Alligator mississippiensis: one gene and its partner. The protein of the gene in region 2 binds, or shares a complex with, the protein of the main gene of each other region. Links are inferred from orthologs where the notes say so. Each region holds a gene or a part of one and is shown on either strand. Other genes may lie near its edges.

Region 1 (7,618 bases), on a different chromosome or scaffold from region 2:
GTGTTTCATAGTGTCTTGCTTTTATAAAAATATATAAATATATATGTGCCTTCCTATATAAATTCCATAGTATAACATGTAAGCTATAAATGTGTAAAAATAAAAATTTATAAATGTATATGTGCCTTCCTATATAAATTCTATAGTATAATATGCAACATAATTATGAAATTGAAAAGAATAAATCAATTAATATTATAATAAAATTAATGGGTCTAGAAAGAAAGCAAAAGGTATTGAGGAATCCCACTTGCTAGGCTAGCAAGTAGGAAATCAAATCAATGCTAGTAGTAGCCTTTGTTGTCTAACGTTCCTGAGGTGGAAGATAGCTCAGTAACTGACCCCAAGGCAGAAAGCAGGCCATTTCAAACAATGCTGCCTTTTATTCTGTTTTTCCATCCCTCCCCCAGAGCACTGGGATTGGAAGGGATCTCAGGGAAGGATCACAGTCACTGGCCAGCTACACAGTCAATAACAGAGCATTCCTTCCCCCTTCTTCCCCATCCCTCTCCTTACTTTCTGTTTCCCTGCAGGCAAGCCCAGCTTCAGCTTTGAAATGTTTCAAAACTTTCAAAAAGTTTCAACTGCCCTCATTTCATTTCAAGGCTGTTTTGAAGCCCTTCGTTTCATTTCAATTTTTCTGTTTCGAGCTTGAAACGAGTCGAAACAGTGTCAAAATGAACAGCCAGTGAAATTTCTCACAGTCCTATTAATCAGGGCCAGAACAGTATTCCACAATGGGAAAAGGTGTCTACATGAGTCTACACATCCAAAGCTTAGCAGGTATTGCCCATGGCTGTCATTGGGCCAGGGCAGGTACACTGTCTGAGTCCGTCTTTGCTTTTGGTTGTTTCAGAGTTGGTATGTCTCCCTCAGATTCAGCTGTTCTTTTATATATTTTGGAGGATCAGAGGTACAGTTCTCCTGAGCCAGGTAAAAGCTTTCCCATGGAGGGAAGAATTTCAAAGGCTGAGAACTGGCATATCTAGTCATGGAATTTTGCATTAATCCCTTGTCTCAAATGATTCTGTTGGAAATGCATCCATTGAAATAGGGACATTAGGAAACAATTTCCCTTGATACAACTGCCTTTATAGTATGTCACACGTAAATAAAATAGCTCTGAAATGATTCCAAAACATCACCTCAATAGACAACTGGAGAAATTGTAGATTTTGATAGGAATACCCTGCAAATGAAAGGTGATGAACTGACAGGGGTGGCCTGTTTGACATATTTTTGATAACACATATAACACAAACTCCAAAGAAAACAGCTTGGGTGAAAAGCTATCTGTTAAATAGCATCATAAGAAAGTAGGGCTGGGAGCACTGGTGATGCATAGGGGCTGCATGCAGGTGCATGTGCACCCCTTGCAAAAAGCGCTGCAGACGCTGCCAGCGGTGCCTATGGGTGGTTGCCACTCACCACTCCTCCCCACCCAGTGGCACCCCCCCTCGGTAGCAACTGCAAGTGGTCGCTGACTGCTGGTTGGCGCTCGCCAACTCTCCCCACCACCCGCTGCCGACACTGCCATGGCCGCCTGCGGGAGCTCCTCACTTGCTGCCAACTGACCCCTCCTCCACTGCCTCTGACACCTGCGGGCGGTCATGACCCCCCAGCCTCTGGGGGCATGCGGTGTTCATGGCTGGAAGGGACCTCAGAAGGTCATCTAATCCAGCTCCTTGCTTGAAGCAGGATCATTCCTGACTAAAGCATCCCAGCCAAGTGTCTAACCTGCTTTTGAAAGTTTCCAAGGATGGAGATTTCACAACTTCTCTAGGCAGCCTGACCACCCTCATAGTAAGAAAGTTCCTTTTAATCTTCAGCCCGAATTTCTACTGCTGGAGCTTGAGGTTATTACTCCTAGTCCTGTCCCCTACTGCCACAGAGAAGCATCTAAATGCTGCTACCCCTTCTGCTAATGACAGAGAAATCTCTCAATTCACCTCTGATATATATATATATATATATAAGATGACCTCTCTTAGAAATCAGAGAAGACTGGCTGACATTTCTTTAAAAAACAACAAACCCTTCAAAGTATGTAAGGGACTGGATTTTTCTAACACCCATGTCATACTGGTTATCTGCAGAAAAAATCAATTTGGCCTCCTACCCCTACTATTTGAGATCATAGATAAAAATATTACAAAACCTCAATAGTACCCGCCTGTATTCACTTAAGCCTGCAACTTTAGCAGCATTTCTGTTGTGTTTAATACCCCTCACATTTATATGCTTTTCTGCATCATGATGTCATGGAATCATAGAAAAGTAGGTCTGGAAGGGACCTCCAGAGGTCATCTAATCCAACCGTGTCAGAGGCAGTATCATCCCTATCCAAACCATCCTATCCAAATGCATTGTCTAACCTATTAGCAAAGCCACAGTCAGCCCTGACACAACTAAGTCTAACAACTAGAAAGGAAACATGGGAGCTAAGCTAAAGGGAGACTGAAGTGAGTTGCTGCTCATGAAAGCTCTTATACTGTTATTCAATTATGATATAGAAGTGGTTCTTGGGCTTTTTCAGACTCAAGGCACCCCTGGCTAGACCCAAGGCACCCTTCCAAAACTGCCAGCTCTTGTTTTTTGACTAAAATAAAACAGAGCAATAAAATAAAAATAACAGTGCTAACATGGCATGGCCTTGTTACAGCCTTGAGACAATCCCAAGACACTCCAGTGGTGCTGCCTCACCTGGTTGAGAATCACTGATCTGTAGGATGCACCCTAGTCCAACCCCTGCCTAAGGAAGGATCATCCCTATCCAAACCAGCCTATAGGTTTCCCTCGCTTTATGCGGGTTCTGTATGTGTGAATTTGCTCTTATGCAACAACCCTTTTTATACCAAAAATACATTATATGCGAGGTAAATTCACTCTTATGTGATTGGTGTGGTGGAAGCCTGCAGTCAGCTGCTTTGTGCAGTGCATTGTAGGAGTGATGCGCACTAAAATATAGTCTCTTGTGTGGTTCTGTGCTCCTGACTTGTTGTCTGAGACATGTGTTTCTGTAGTTGCCATCCCCATTATGAGTGTGCCCTGTTGGTGAGTACCAGAATTGTCTTGTAAAAGTGGCAGAAATGGGTCTGGGAGTCAGAACAGTCAAGGTCTTGGAACGTATCCCTATTTCTTACACCATAAAGTGGGTCCCTTTATGCAAAATTGAGTTATGCGCTGTTTTCCAGGAATTCGTGTACCGCATAAAGCAAGGAAACTTGTACAAATCCACTGTCTAGCCCAGGGGTCGACAACCCCCGGCATCTGTGCCAAGCATGGCACGCGAGGCCATTTTGCTTAGCACCCACAGCCAGCCCCAGCTCTAAGATGCTTCCAGCAGGGCTTGCAGCATCCCAGCTGCCTGCTGGGAGCCGCCCGGGCTCCCGGCTGGCAGCAGCTCCCCAGAGCCAAGGCGGGTGCAGCCGGGAGCTCCAAACAGCTGTGCCGGGCTCCGGCATCAGCTCCACACTGGCGCTTGCACCCGCGCCTTAGAGCAGGCGGCGAAGGCGGGGCTGAGGCAGCGCAGCCCCGGTCTCCCCCCACCCCGCTCCGGGCACGGAGGTGATGGCGGGCTTCCAGAGCCCGGCGCTGCTGTTTGTAGCCAGCCTGGGCTCTGGGCAGCTGCAGCAAGCAAGCAGGGGGCAGGCTGCAAACAGCTGCGCGGGGCTCTGGAAGCCCGCCATCACCTCCGTGCCGGGAGCGGGGTGGGGGGAGGCCGGGGCTGCGCTGCCTCAGCCCCGTCAGCTCTGACACGCAGGCGCACGCGCCGGTGCGGAGCTGATGCCGGAGCCCGGGGCCCCGCGCAGCTGTTTGGAGCCTCCCGGCTGCAATTGACCCCGGCTCTGGGGAGCTGCTGACAGCCACAGAGCCCAGGCTGGGAGAAAGGGGCTTTGGGTGGGGGGCGAGGGGCAGTAGAGGTGGGGGCACAGGGCATGGGGCAAGAGGCTTTGGGTGGGGGGCAAGGGGCACAAGCAGGGCATCCTGCTATGTACCCCTTGCCGGCACCGCGGCACCTTCCAAGGTAGGCACTGTGGTGTTTTTCGGCACTCCGGGCAAAAAACGTTGCTTACCCCTGGTCTAGCCTCTGGGCGCTCAGCCTCCAGCCCATGCGCCAAACGGAGCGCAAACCCTCGGAATCGGGCCTGTGCGGGTCCCCGGAGGCCAGGACACGTGGCGGCAGTTAATACCGCCAGCCCCGCGCCTGCTTCCCCCCGCCAGGCCAGGGTGGGGCCGTGCCCCCGCCGCCCAGCGCAGCTGGGTCAGGGCTGGCCCGGGCCCCCCGCACTGCCCGCTCCCGCGTGGCTGGGCTCGGGCGGGTGGAAAGGCCCGTGCAGTATGCGAGTGCGGTGATGCACCAGGCCGCTACCGGCCCAGGTGAGACCCGGCAGGCGACACCCACAAGAAGGGAAATGACGAGTAGGAGAGAAGGGCAGCGCGTGCCGGGGGGACCGTGACGCACAAGATCAACTCAGTGATGTCAAAGTCAAGCAGGGGCGGGGCGGATGCGGGGCAGGAGAGGCACCTCCCACGCAGGGGGAGGGCGTTGCCGTGACGCAAGTTCTTCCCGGCGTGCCCCGCGCCCCGCGGAAGCGGGTACTTCCGGCGGCGATGGCGCGAGTTTCCCGCGCGCTGCTCATCTTCGGCAGTTTCGTGGCCGCAGTGGGGGCGGTGGTTTACCCCATCTACGTCCTGCCGCTGCAGCAGATAGAGCGCTACAGTGAGTGGCCCCGCGGGCTCCGCCCTGCCAGCGCGGTGCAGCGGGACGCCTCGCCCCGCCCCGCCCGTCGCTTCCTCGGGGCCACTGGCCCCTTTCCGTGCGGGCCGGGGCAAGGGGGCGCTGGCGGCTCCCGGCTCTAGTCGGAGAGGGCGAGTCCCTGCCTGAGGACACGGCTGCGCCCCTTTTTGTCGCGTCCCTGGTGGGCACGGTGGGTGGCATCGAAGGGGAGGCCAGGGGGTAGAGGGACGTGCAACTCTTGGCTGTGCCTCCGAGCCTGTTCTGCAAAGCACCACACTTCTAGCTAGAGAGAGTGGTCACCCACAACTGGAAAAATAATGTAACTGGTAGTCGGCTTTTTTTGGCCAGAAACATCCCCAATAAACGCCGCATGCACACGTGCAGCCGCAGCTGGCACATGCAGCAGCTAAGAAAGTAGCCTGGCAGTTTGGAGAGCAGTGTCTTGCCCTGCCAATAAGTCTGCTGGGAAGGGGCATGAGGGTGCAGATGGAGGCCAGGGTGGTGAGGGAGGGAGTGGGGCAGTGAACGGGATCCTGGGGCTGGGAGCAGGGTGGAGTCACTGGAGTCACAGGTGGCTCGTCCATGGAGGCATGTGTCCCCTTCCCCCGCCCCCGATTTGTGCATGGGGCAAGGGTGGGCTGCCCACTGCTGGCCCAGGACGTGCCAGCCTCTTATTAGCAGGGGGCTGGACAGTCTCCACTGCACAGGCAGGTGGTGGTGCTGGGAAGGCTGGCTATGGGGGGGCTATGGAAACTATTGGGGTGATTAGAGCCCCCAAAGCCCCTCCCCTAGCACCGCCCCTGCTCTGGGCACTCTGCTGCCTTTCACTCAGGAGCCCCCTGCTGTGGGGTGGGCAGGGACTTGTGGCCAGAGGGGCCCCTGAGGGAAAAGGCAGTAGAGTGGAGTGCCTTAAGCAAGGGTGGTGCTGGGGGTGCGCTCTAGCAATCACAAAATTCCCCATAGCCTCCCCACTCCCCCACCCCATAGCCAACCCTCCCAGCACTGCCACCTTCCCCCATGCATCTGAGTCTGCCCTTCTCCCGCCCAAGCATAGCCCCATCCCAGTCCCCCTGCTGGGAAGAGGCTGGTGCTGCCCCTGGCCATGAGCACGCAGCAGACAGTCCACCCTCACCCGCGCACAAGTCTGGGGGGGAATATGTCCCCCATGCATCTCCCAGGGGCACTAGCTGTGGTGGGGAGCCACTCTCCCTCCCTACCTCCCCTTGCCCCCAGACGACTTGCCTGCGACTCCATCCAGCTCCTGGCCCTGGGGTCCCATTCACCGCCCTGGCTGGGCAGTTCCTGCTCCTGCCCCATTCCTTCCCTCACCATGGGGGCCTCGATCTGCCCCCCCATGTTCCTTCCCTCCCCTGGGAGGGGAATCTAGCTGTCCCTGCAGTCAGGTTCCCATAGCAACGGCCAGGGCACTCTGCCAGTGCTCCCTGTTTTCAGAATGGGAAGGGGAACGGCAATGGGGAGAGCTCATTCTCGGGGCTCCCTGCTGGTGCTGAAGGGTGAGGTGGGTGAATTGGGCCCCCCCATCTCTGGCGGGGGGGCTCCAATATTCCTGCCCCACCTCCCGGGGTCAACCCCCCCCCCCCCCCCCAGACTGAACTCCTTTTCCCTTTCCTTCCTCCCATTCTGAAAGCAGCGACGGGCTGGGAGCTCCACAGACACAGGTTACAGAAGGCGCTATATTTTGAAATATCTTTATTTGATACTTCATGTAACGAAGGGTCAGATTTCACCAGATTGGCCATTTTTAAGCTGTCTGCAGCCGAGCAGTTGTTTGGTCACAGCTATAGACTGCTTTCTGTGGCGAGATTGGATGAAAATTGTCACTTCTGTCTGCATCTTCAATTATGTTTGTATATTTATATGTTTGTATATTTATTTACTTCACAGCATAACTTTTGGATGCCCATGAGTTGACTGTATTTTGAGACATGTTTGGAGATCTATGTGTATATCACACTTCAGGTGTCAGGAAATAAAAAAGACACTATTTATTTATTTACCTATATGTATAAATAAAATGTGTATTTATTTTTACTTCAGCATGATTGTGAAGTAACATGCTTCCGACACCTCAAGTTGGATATATTTGGCGACTGTGTTGTTTTTTTTTTCTTTCTCTCTCTCTCTCCCCCCCCAGGTATACCCAACTTTATAGCATGATTTTTGGACACCTTAAAGTATTGTGCTTCAGACACCTGAAGTTGGATATATTTGGATATCATGTATATCATGGGTTCCCAAACTGGTACGTGTACTCCTGGGAGTACGTGACATCTTTAGGGGGTACACTGGAGAAATTGCGTAACAGTGGATTTTAATGTCCATTATAATAATTGTCATTAAGGGGTTAAAATATAAAATGTATGGTAGTAGGGGCATGGGGGCAGCTGATTAAATCTGGAAGGGGTACACAATAAGAAAAAGTTTGGGAACCTCTCATATGTATAATGGATAATCTCCAATTATATCCGACTTTTGGGTGTCCAAAACATGTTACTTCACAACCATGCTGAAGTAAAAATAAATAAACTTTTAAAGATTTTGTGTGTGTAAAATCTCTATATATACATTTATTTATTTATTTATTTTAGCATTTAAAGAAGCACAAGAGCTTGTTACGCTCATGTGGCTTCCTTGCAGTTTGGTTATAAGAACCTGAAACTGACATTTGACATTCATTGCTGTGAGAGAGAAATTTTGTATCACTTTTGCTGGGCACAAAAGTATTCACTAGCACCTCATGCCTTAACCTTCATTTTTTGCTGGTTTTAATAGATGTTTGTTTAGCAACCATGAAAGTGAATGGTGATTCTTGTCTTTGCACTTATGCTTTTCCCAGAGCAAGAGCAGGCACAGAAT
Region 2 (7,779 bases):
AAATAGTTCACCTCACTTTTCAAGAAGTTCTTTGTCTTTCTGGGCTGGCATGAAATGGCGCGTAGCCAGGACCAGAAAGCAAACACCTGGGCCCCACCAGACTTCACCGTCTTTAGGCTGGGTGTCAACGCGATCTTGTTTGCAGAGAACGTGGACACAGCCAAAGACAAGGCATTTCCTTACCTCAACCCTTGCCTACAATCTGCAAGCTATTGTACCCTTCCTCCGCTTTGTCGTCACGTTAAATGGCAATACAGGCAACCCTCCCCATTCGCTGGGGATACGTTTTTGTATCCCCCCCACGAATGGCGAAATCTGCAAATAAGGCACTGCGTTCATGTGCGCTGGGGCAGGGGGACGCAGCTCCAGCGGGAGCAATCACAAAGCTCCTGAGGAGTGCTTGTAAGTGTATGAAGTGCATTTAAAATGAGAATTCGGCATTCGCGAATATTTGAAACCGCAAATGCCAAACCCGCAAATAGCAAAGCTTTCCTGTACTGCCAACCTGGCTGCAGACGTGAATCAAACTACCACAGACTCTGATCTCCCAAGACTGGCATGTTCCTAACAGCAAGGAATCCACTTCCTTCGCTCAGGACTTTCTTTTAGAGTTGGACTTATCAGCAAGGATTTTTCCAAAATCCCTATACCTGCTATATACAGGGGCCATGAAGTCCAGCTGCTTCCCAAACACACAGCAGGGATTTGGATGCAAAGATGTGCAGGATCAGGACAGAGATGTACTCTGGGGAGGAGATCCACTGTACAGCATCTGGGTAGTTACTGAAGGGAGCTGGGGAAATAAGAGCGAATATACTAACCCTATGTCAAGGGATTTGATTAATGCGGGGAAGAGATTTTACAGCCCAATCCCCTTGCTTTTCAAAGCAAAGTGTAGGAGGGCTGATATGGAGATCTGATAATTACACAGACAGGAACAAAGAGCCTCAGGAAGATGAATGTCTACCAAGAAATGGTAGGCTTATGGTCTACGCCAGCTGCTCACTGTTAGAAACTTCCATGCAAGGAAATGTTAGGCTTTCATTTGCCCCTCTCACAGGTCAGCAGAGCAGATGGACTATTGGTGCAAACATGCAGGATACCGTCCCTGTGCTCCCATACAGAGGTTCACCTCATGTCCCAAGCTCAACGCGGGTCACTGCTTTCCACAGCAGTGCAGCACTCACCTTTCCCCTTTTGCTGCCTTGTCCATCCAGGTCCATTTTCTCACTCTTCTCCCCATTCACATCCCCATTTTCCCCAGCCGGCTTGGCCTTGTCTTCTTCACTGTCTGTCATAAAGTCGTCGCTGTCTTCCCCACGTCCTGCAGCTGCTGGGATTTTTTCTGGGAAGAGCTCAGCTAAAACACAAGGCAAGACCCAGATGGGGCCAGATTCTGCTTCACACGGGCACCTGCTCTCACTCCACTTCAGAGACATCCTAACAGGGGTTTCAGGGACATCCTAATGGGGGAACGGACCAAGCTGAAGCATTAGACTCCAACCTCTATCACCAAAGGCCTTCAGTGACCAACTGGTATGTTACTACTGAAACACCTGGAAGGCAAATAAGCTGACAGCACATCAGTAGCAATGGGCCCAGGACCCTTAGTAATCCAAGTACAGGAGACGTTCAGCCCATGATCCTCTAATGTGTGGGCTCCCCGCTGGCCAGGCATCAACAGAACTGCCATCCTGGCCCGCTCCTGCTGCTGCCCTTTCAAAGTAGCAAAGTTCTGCCTCTTTCCATAGAGTCTTGCCCATTTTTACGCATGACCAAGAAGTCCTCTCCTCATCCCACTCCCTGTGCTGCTAATGGGGATTCGTAGATGTTAGGGGCTGGTCATCGGGTCCAGCCCCCCTGCACTTGAAACAGACTTGCCTTTCTAGTGAGTGCCAGGAAGGACCGAGGGAGGAGAGGGGGTCCGTTTACAATATTCAGAAACGCCAAAGCTTTGCTCACGTGGGTACAGGTCGCTCATGCTGTCGTCACTGTCCTCCTCGTCCTCATTGCTGGACGCGGGCTCCCAGAAATCCCCCCTCTTGCACGGCGGCTTGCTCCCCTTCGGCTGGTCATCATGCCGCCGCTGCCGCTTCTTCTGCAGCAGGCAAGCAGGCACATACTCCGTGCCCTCCTTCTGGCACTCCTCATCTAGTTAGGGAACAGAACAGGGGGACTCAGCTAGGATCACACACAGAAATGCAAGCAATTCAGCAGCTTGCTGGCCTAATAGAGGAAGATAGCGAACCAGAGGTACAGCAAGGTCCTGGGTAGCTAGTCAGTGCAGTATGAATTGCAACTGCACCTTTCACAGACCATGCCCCTGCAGAGACCTAGGGAGACACCAAAGCCAATGGATGCAAAATGGGAGCGCGCACTTCAATCTTGCTGCCCTGGCAGCAATTGTAGCAGGGGTGTGCACCGAGCCTGACACCTTTTGCAAGAGCCAAACATCCCCAGAGACCCAAGTCTATTCTGTCCAGAGAAGTCCAGCACTGCAGTTTCCTTCACACCCTGCTCCTACTCTGACCAGGACATGCCTCTAGCGGTGGCAGCGCAATTCAGTCTGCACGTTCCATTCAAACCTAGCTTCTGGGATGCAAACACAAACACAAACACCTCCCATGGTAGGGGGTGCTGGCTTTTACAAAGCAAACACTTGTTCCCAGGAACACCAAGCTCACTACATGCAGGCCAACAAGCAGCCGTCGGGTAGGACTGGCATTCAGTCACTACCTAATTGAGCCAAACACTGCCACCAGAGATCTACAAGCTTCAGTCCCTTTACTGATAAAACAACACTGCCAGGCTCATCTTGACTCTCATCAAGTCCCCACAGATATAAGCCACCATCCAAACTTCCACTAGTTGGTGGCTGAACGTAAGGTGCTCAAGCTGGGACATGCAGACAGCTGGCAAATCCCTCAGGGCTGGCTTCTCCAGCTGCTAAACTGTATTGACAGGGAGTTAAAATATTAGGCATTCCCATAATTGTATGTTCAGTGTTAATGCCAGAGATACCACATGATGCCATAGATAGAAAAGCATCCACTGCACAACCTCTGTATTTAAGCATTAGCTGCAGTACAAAAAGGTCTGAGAACCTCTGCTCTAAAGCAAAGACACTGCTTTGCCAACTAGAGAAAAAAACTGCAAACAGCAGGCAGGAGTGCTGTTGTTACTGGCAAGTTGTCGAGAGCTTCCCCAACACTTCCCACCTACCAGGCTGGGCGCCACGAGTACAGATCAAGAAAGATGTTGCAGAAGGCGCTAGCACCACTTACATTTTTTCAGCGCCTTCTGATAGCGCTTCCCTTGGACATGACGCAGCACGTGCTCCGGGACCCTGTTGATGTGCCTGAGCGTGAGCTTGCAAAACAGCTGGTGTCTACAGGAAGAGACATGGATGTGAGCACAGCAAAGTCAGCAAATGGAACGGTCCACGTCTGAGTAATGAAACAACGCTGTAGCCGTGACGGTCCAAAAAACATGCAAGAGGCTCAGACTCTTGTGGGTCCTCTCTTTTATGGTGGGGATAGATTTAGATGAGCTTTTGGGATATCACAAATCTTGGGCCTCTGAGAGAGAAGCAGATGGAGACCCGAAGGAGGGCACTGCGGTCTAAGCCTGTCCCAACCAAGCAGCTGCCCCAATAACAGACATCACCTGTGAGAGTCCTTGCCTCTCACATTGCTCCTGGGTGGGCGGTTTAAGTCAGGGGCGTCAAAACATGGCCTACGGAACCGTTCCAGCCGGCTTGCTGCTGATCCAGCAGACAACCGGTGTGGGCAGTGGAGCATGTCCTGCCACAGGATTCGGGGTGCGTAGGCCCCCATTGCACATGCCCACCAGCAACAGGGGGAGAGAGGGCTATGCAGACACCACCCTCGCTTGCCTGGCTGCTGGCCATCCCTGGACCCGCTCTGCTGCCTGAACGCAGACCTGCCCTGCTGGGCCCAGGGGAGCCCGCACAGTTCGACGCTGCCCCGAGGCCTGTGCAAGTTCGACACCCCTGCTCGAAGGCAACAGCCAGCAAAGCTGCATTGCAAAAGCTTTCCCAGCCCAGCAAGCAGCTTCCCTCCAAAGCACCGAGGCCTCCTCCCTGCCCCAGCCGCCAGCACGGGGTTACGCACGGGTTCTTGGTGCTGGGCACGATGTGGGGTTCGTAGTCGCTGTAGTTGAAGGCGCCAGGTGTCCCGCTCAGCCGCAGGTACCTCTTGCCGCTGGTGTAGGCCTGCAGCTCGGGCAGCCGGCAGGGCAGCTCATGCCCCGTCAGCTCGCAGCGTACCTGGGGCGAGGGGGGAAGAGACGTGTGAGACGCCAGCTCCTGCACCCGCCCCTCACGCAGGGTCTGGACAACGGTCCAGGCATGGGCGGTTTCTGATTCCTGCTCCACCCAAAGCTGAACACCAGCTGCCACGCAGCGGCACCCCCCCGCGTGTCACCCCCCCCGCGCTGCTCCCCCGCGTGGGGACCCGCCCCTGGGCTCACCCGGGTGTCCCCGCCCGGCCCCAGCGGGCGCAGCGCCGGGTGCCGCTGCAGGAAGCGCCGCACGTCCTGGGGCAGCGCGCACATGGCCCCAAGGCCCCGCGCCCCGCCCACCGGAAGTGCCCGCGGCCGCCGGAACCATAGAGACGCGCTGTCACTAGGGCACTCCCCACTTCCGGCAGAAGTAGATGTGCCCGCGACCACCGGAACCATAGAGACTACCAGTCTCTACCAGTGAGTCCCCACTTCCGGTGGAAGCGGAAGCGGAAGCGGCTGTGGACAATGGCTGCGGGCGGCGGGCGCTGCCTTGGGAGGCTGCTGCAGCTCCGGGGCTGTGCCCAGGTGGGAGCGCGGGGGGGGGGCGGGACGGGGGTGGCAGGGGGGTTCCCCCCTTCCTCTGCCAGCCCCCCTGCTTCTCGGCTCGGGCCCTAGACATGACATCATCCTTTTGGATCATTTCAAGCTCCCTTTCCCAGCAAATAACATCTTCCGAAGCCGCCCTGATCGCTCGAGGCTCGAGCGCGCAAAGCAGGGGCGTGACACGGCATCTCTTTGCTTTTGTTTAGATACCAAATGTTTCGGTCAGGACGTTTTTTGCATATCCTCGTACAAAAGCACGGTCCGGTTTGCTACAGGGATCTAAAGGTAAGGAAAAATGTCGTCTTTCCTTCAGGTCCGACACTCAGCTGCCGTCGTGTTCCAGCCGGGGATGTCTGATGCAGCTTTCTCTACCTGTGCTGCTTGCCAATAGTATGTGACATGAGGAAGAAAGGGGGAAAGCTTGTGTTTTGGCAGTTATATAAAATCATTGGCGATGCTAGGGGTGCACGTGCACCCCTGGAAGTGCCAGCCATGAAACTGGAAGTGCACTTCCAGTTTTGCTGCTGGCTTGGTAATTGGCCACTGGGTGACACCCCCTCCCCCCCCCCAATCGGCAATCTGGTGCCCCCCGGACTTGGGAGGCACCACTTGCCCGTGTGTAAAATGCATTAGAATTAATTGAAATGAAGAGGTTCCATAAATAGAGGTCTTTTACGCTTGTCAAAGGATGCTGAGATGATTTATAATGTCGTCTGAAGACTTAAGCCTCCAATACAGTATCACTGTGTAGAGTAGATAATGTAAGTAAAATAGCTTAATTAAAGGAGTCAGAGAACATTAGGACCGAGTCAGTAGCATGGTAGCTGGGAAGCTTGGTAAACATCAGTTCCTGATGCTGCAAACCCTGCAGGGAGGTAAGCTGGTTTCTCTTATAGTAACTGTGTTTCTAATTTGAATTCACTCCAGACGTTTGTTTGAGACTCCGGAGACCAAAAAGTGGCACAGCAGATGTCATCGAATCTGGAGAGGATGTTGCGTTCAGGTGGGGCCTTTTACTGATCCCTGTGACCACATTTTGCCTTGGCACATGGCAGGTAAATGAAAACATTTCACTCTTTAGAAATCAAAGTACGCACATGGGTATCAGTTGAGAACTGCCTTAGCCAGCCAGAGGGACTTATCCGTGTCAAAATAAAAATTAGTCAGTGTTGTTTGGCATCTTTAATTTGGGCTGTTTCAACAAGTCCAGGCAATTCTTTTGTTGGAAAATTTAATTTTACTTTCCATCCCCGCAAGGAAATAGGTATTTCAATTTTCATGTCTCCAATTATCCTGTTAAAGACCAGTGTGATCCCAGCATTGAGGAAAACATGAATTTTGTTTTCAAACTTGCAAGAAGTTATTAGCAGCAGCCCCCATGATGATGCCATTGCTGTGTGTTCCCAGGTCCAGCGCCGGAAGAGGAAGTTGAAACTGATTGCAGACCTCGAGTCAAGAGTTGGATCAGAGCCTGTTCCTCTGCCTTCAGAGTAAGTGTAGAAGCTGGGTTTACACTTGATGATTCATGTAGCATCAGCAATCTACTAGGAATTTGGGACATGGTCCTTGCCCTGAGGAACTTGCACACTAATAGACAACATGGGAGCAGCAAGCAGTGTAGACAAACTAGAAAGAAAAATATGGTGGTTCATCTTATTTTAAACATGAGCTGTGAATGCTTCCCTGGAAAGCATTATGTGCTACCAAAAATGCACGTGTTACAAAAAGCCATGTGGATAGACAAGGTCCTTGCACTGTTCAGACAAATCTGAGGCACAGAACAAGTGCATGTGGCCATCTGGTATAGAGTGTCAAGGTTCAAGGGTCAGGAAGGGAAGGAGAATTACTGTTGACTTGACCTCCACATGCTATGTCTACAGGAAAAAGGCCCTTCCCAGCTGGTGTTGAGTTCTGCCAGTGACACAGGAATTACACCTGGGTATACCCAGGATACTAACAACTCATGCTATTCACTAGCGTGCTGCTAAACTGTAGTCGGATGCTTAACTCATTGGGGATTTTGTTTCTCTGTCTGCTACTGCTGATCCTTTTTTTTTTTTTTCTTCAGTTGATTTGCCAGTTGTCCATTTGGGGAATAAAAAAACAGAGGGGACCCCGTAATTCCGCTAAAGGTTTAACTGTCTGGCTCTGGTGGCCCAGAGACTGCTCTCATCCCAGTGCATCTTGTTCCCTTACAGCCCTGCAGAGCTGAAGGAGCTGGAGTACAGGTCTGTCAAGGTTCGAGGGTATTTTGATCACTCCAAAGAGCTCTACGTTATGCCACGTTCACGGGTAGATCCTAAGCGAGAGGCCAGAGAAGCTGGACGACTGACATCCAGTCCGGACAATGGAGCAAACATCATTACTCCCTTCTACTGCACAGACCTTGGGTATGTTCAGCTACTAGCTGGAGGACTCTAGGCTTATGCAGGGCTGCAGCAGGCACTTTGTTTCTTCCCAGCAGCAGCTGAATTGCAGCTGTCAGGTTAGTTCAAAGGAGAGCAGTGATGTATACAAGAGAAAAGAAAAAAGCCTCTCAGATGGTCTACTCAGTTGGTAACCCTTGACTTCCAAGTGCATTTAAAACCCATTTTAATTTGCTTCCTGTTACCTGGAAAGTGGTTTTCAAACACGTAGATCGCTAATCTTTTTGGCATGTAGTTTCAGTGATGGGAGTTCTCTTGCTAACACTTATTTTTCTCTCTCCGTTCTTACTTGTACCTGCAGTATCACAATCCTAGTGAACCGAGGCTTTGTCCCAAAAAAGAAGTTGAAACCAGAGACCAGACTGAATGGTCAGGTAAGAGGAACCAGTTAGATCTCTCACCCGCTACCCTGGAAGCAACTGTTAATATGCCAGCTGAGGCATTAGACTAGGGGTGGCCAGTCACCCACTCTGGGTGCCACATCCTGCACCAAACTTTAAGGGGT

Evidence for each region. The genes of interacting proteins can lie anywhere in the genome.
Region 1: surfeit locus protein 1 (region 2) and SMIM20 share a complex: the UniProt entries of both Homo sapiens proteins name them as parts of the MITRAC (mitochondrial translation regulation assembly intermediate of cytochrome c oxidase complex) complex. The link is inferred for Alligator mississippiensis from reciprocal best matches to the Homo sapiens genes SURF1 and SMIM20.

What each region holds. Positions count from the first base shown.
Region 1 is NC_081825.1:39,731,843-39,739,460, forward strand, and holds the start of SMIM20 (small integral membrane protein 20), read left to right. Parts: upstream 1-4,566; 5' UTR 4,567-4,614; coding exon 4,615-4,723; intron 4,724-7,598; coding exon 7,599-7,618.
Region 2 is NC_081835.1:60,871,554-60,879,332, reverse strand, and holds the start of surfeit locus protein 1, read left to right. Parts: upstream 1-4,723; 5' UTR 4,724-4,770; coding exon 4,771-4,830; intron 4,831-5,054; coding exon 5,055-5,133; intron 5,134-5,775; coding exon 5,776-5,903; intron 5,904-6,255; coding exon 6,256-6,338; intron 6,339-7,046; coding exon 7,047-7,238; intron 7,239-7,575; coding exon 7,576-7,648; intron 7,649-7,779. Other genes in the region: SURF2 (surfeit locus protein 2), read right to left, coding at 1,188-1,360, 1,963-2,151, 3,285-3,388, 4,134-4,288, 4,492-4,575. UniProt on the Homo sapiens protein: Component of the MITRAC (mitochondrial translation regulation assembly intermediate of cytochrome c oxidase complex) complex, that regulates cytochrome c oxidase assembly.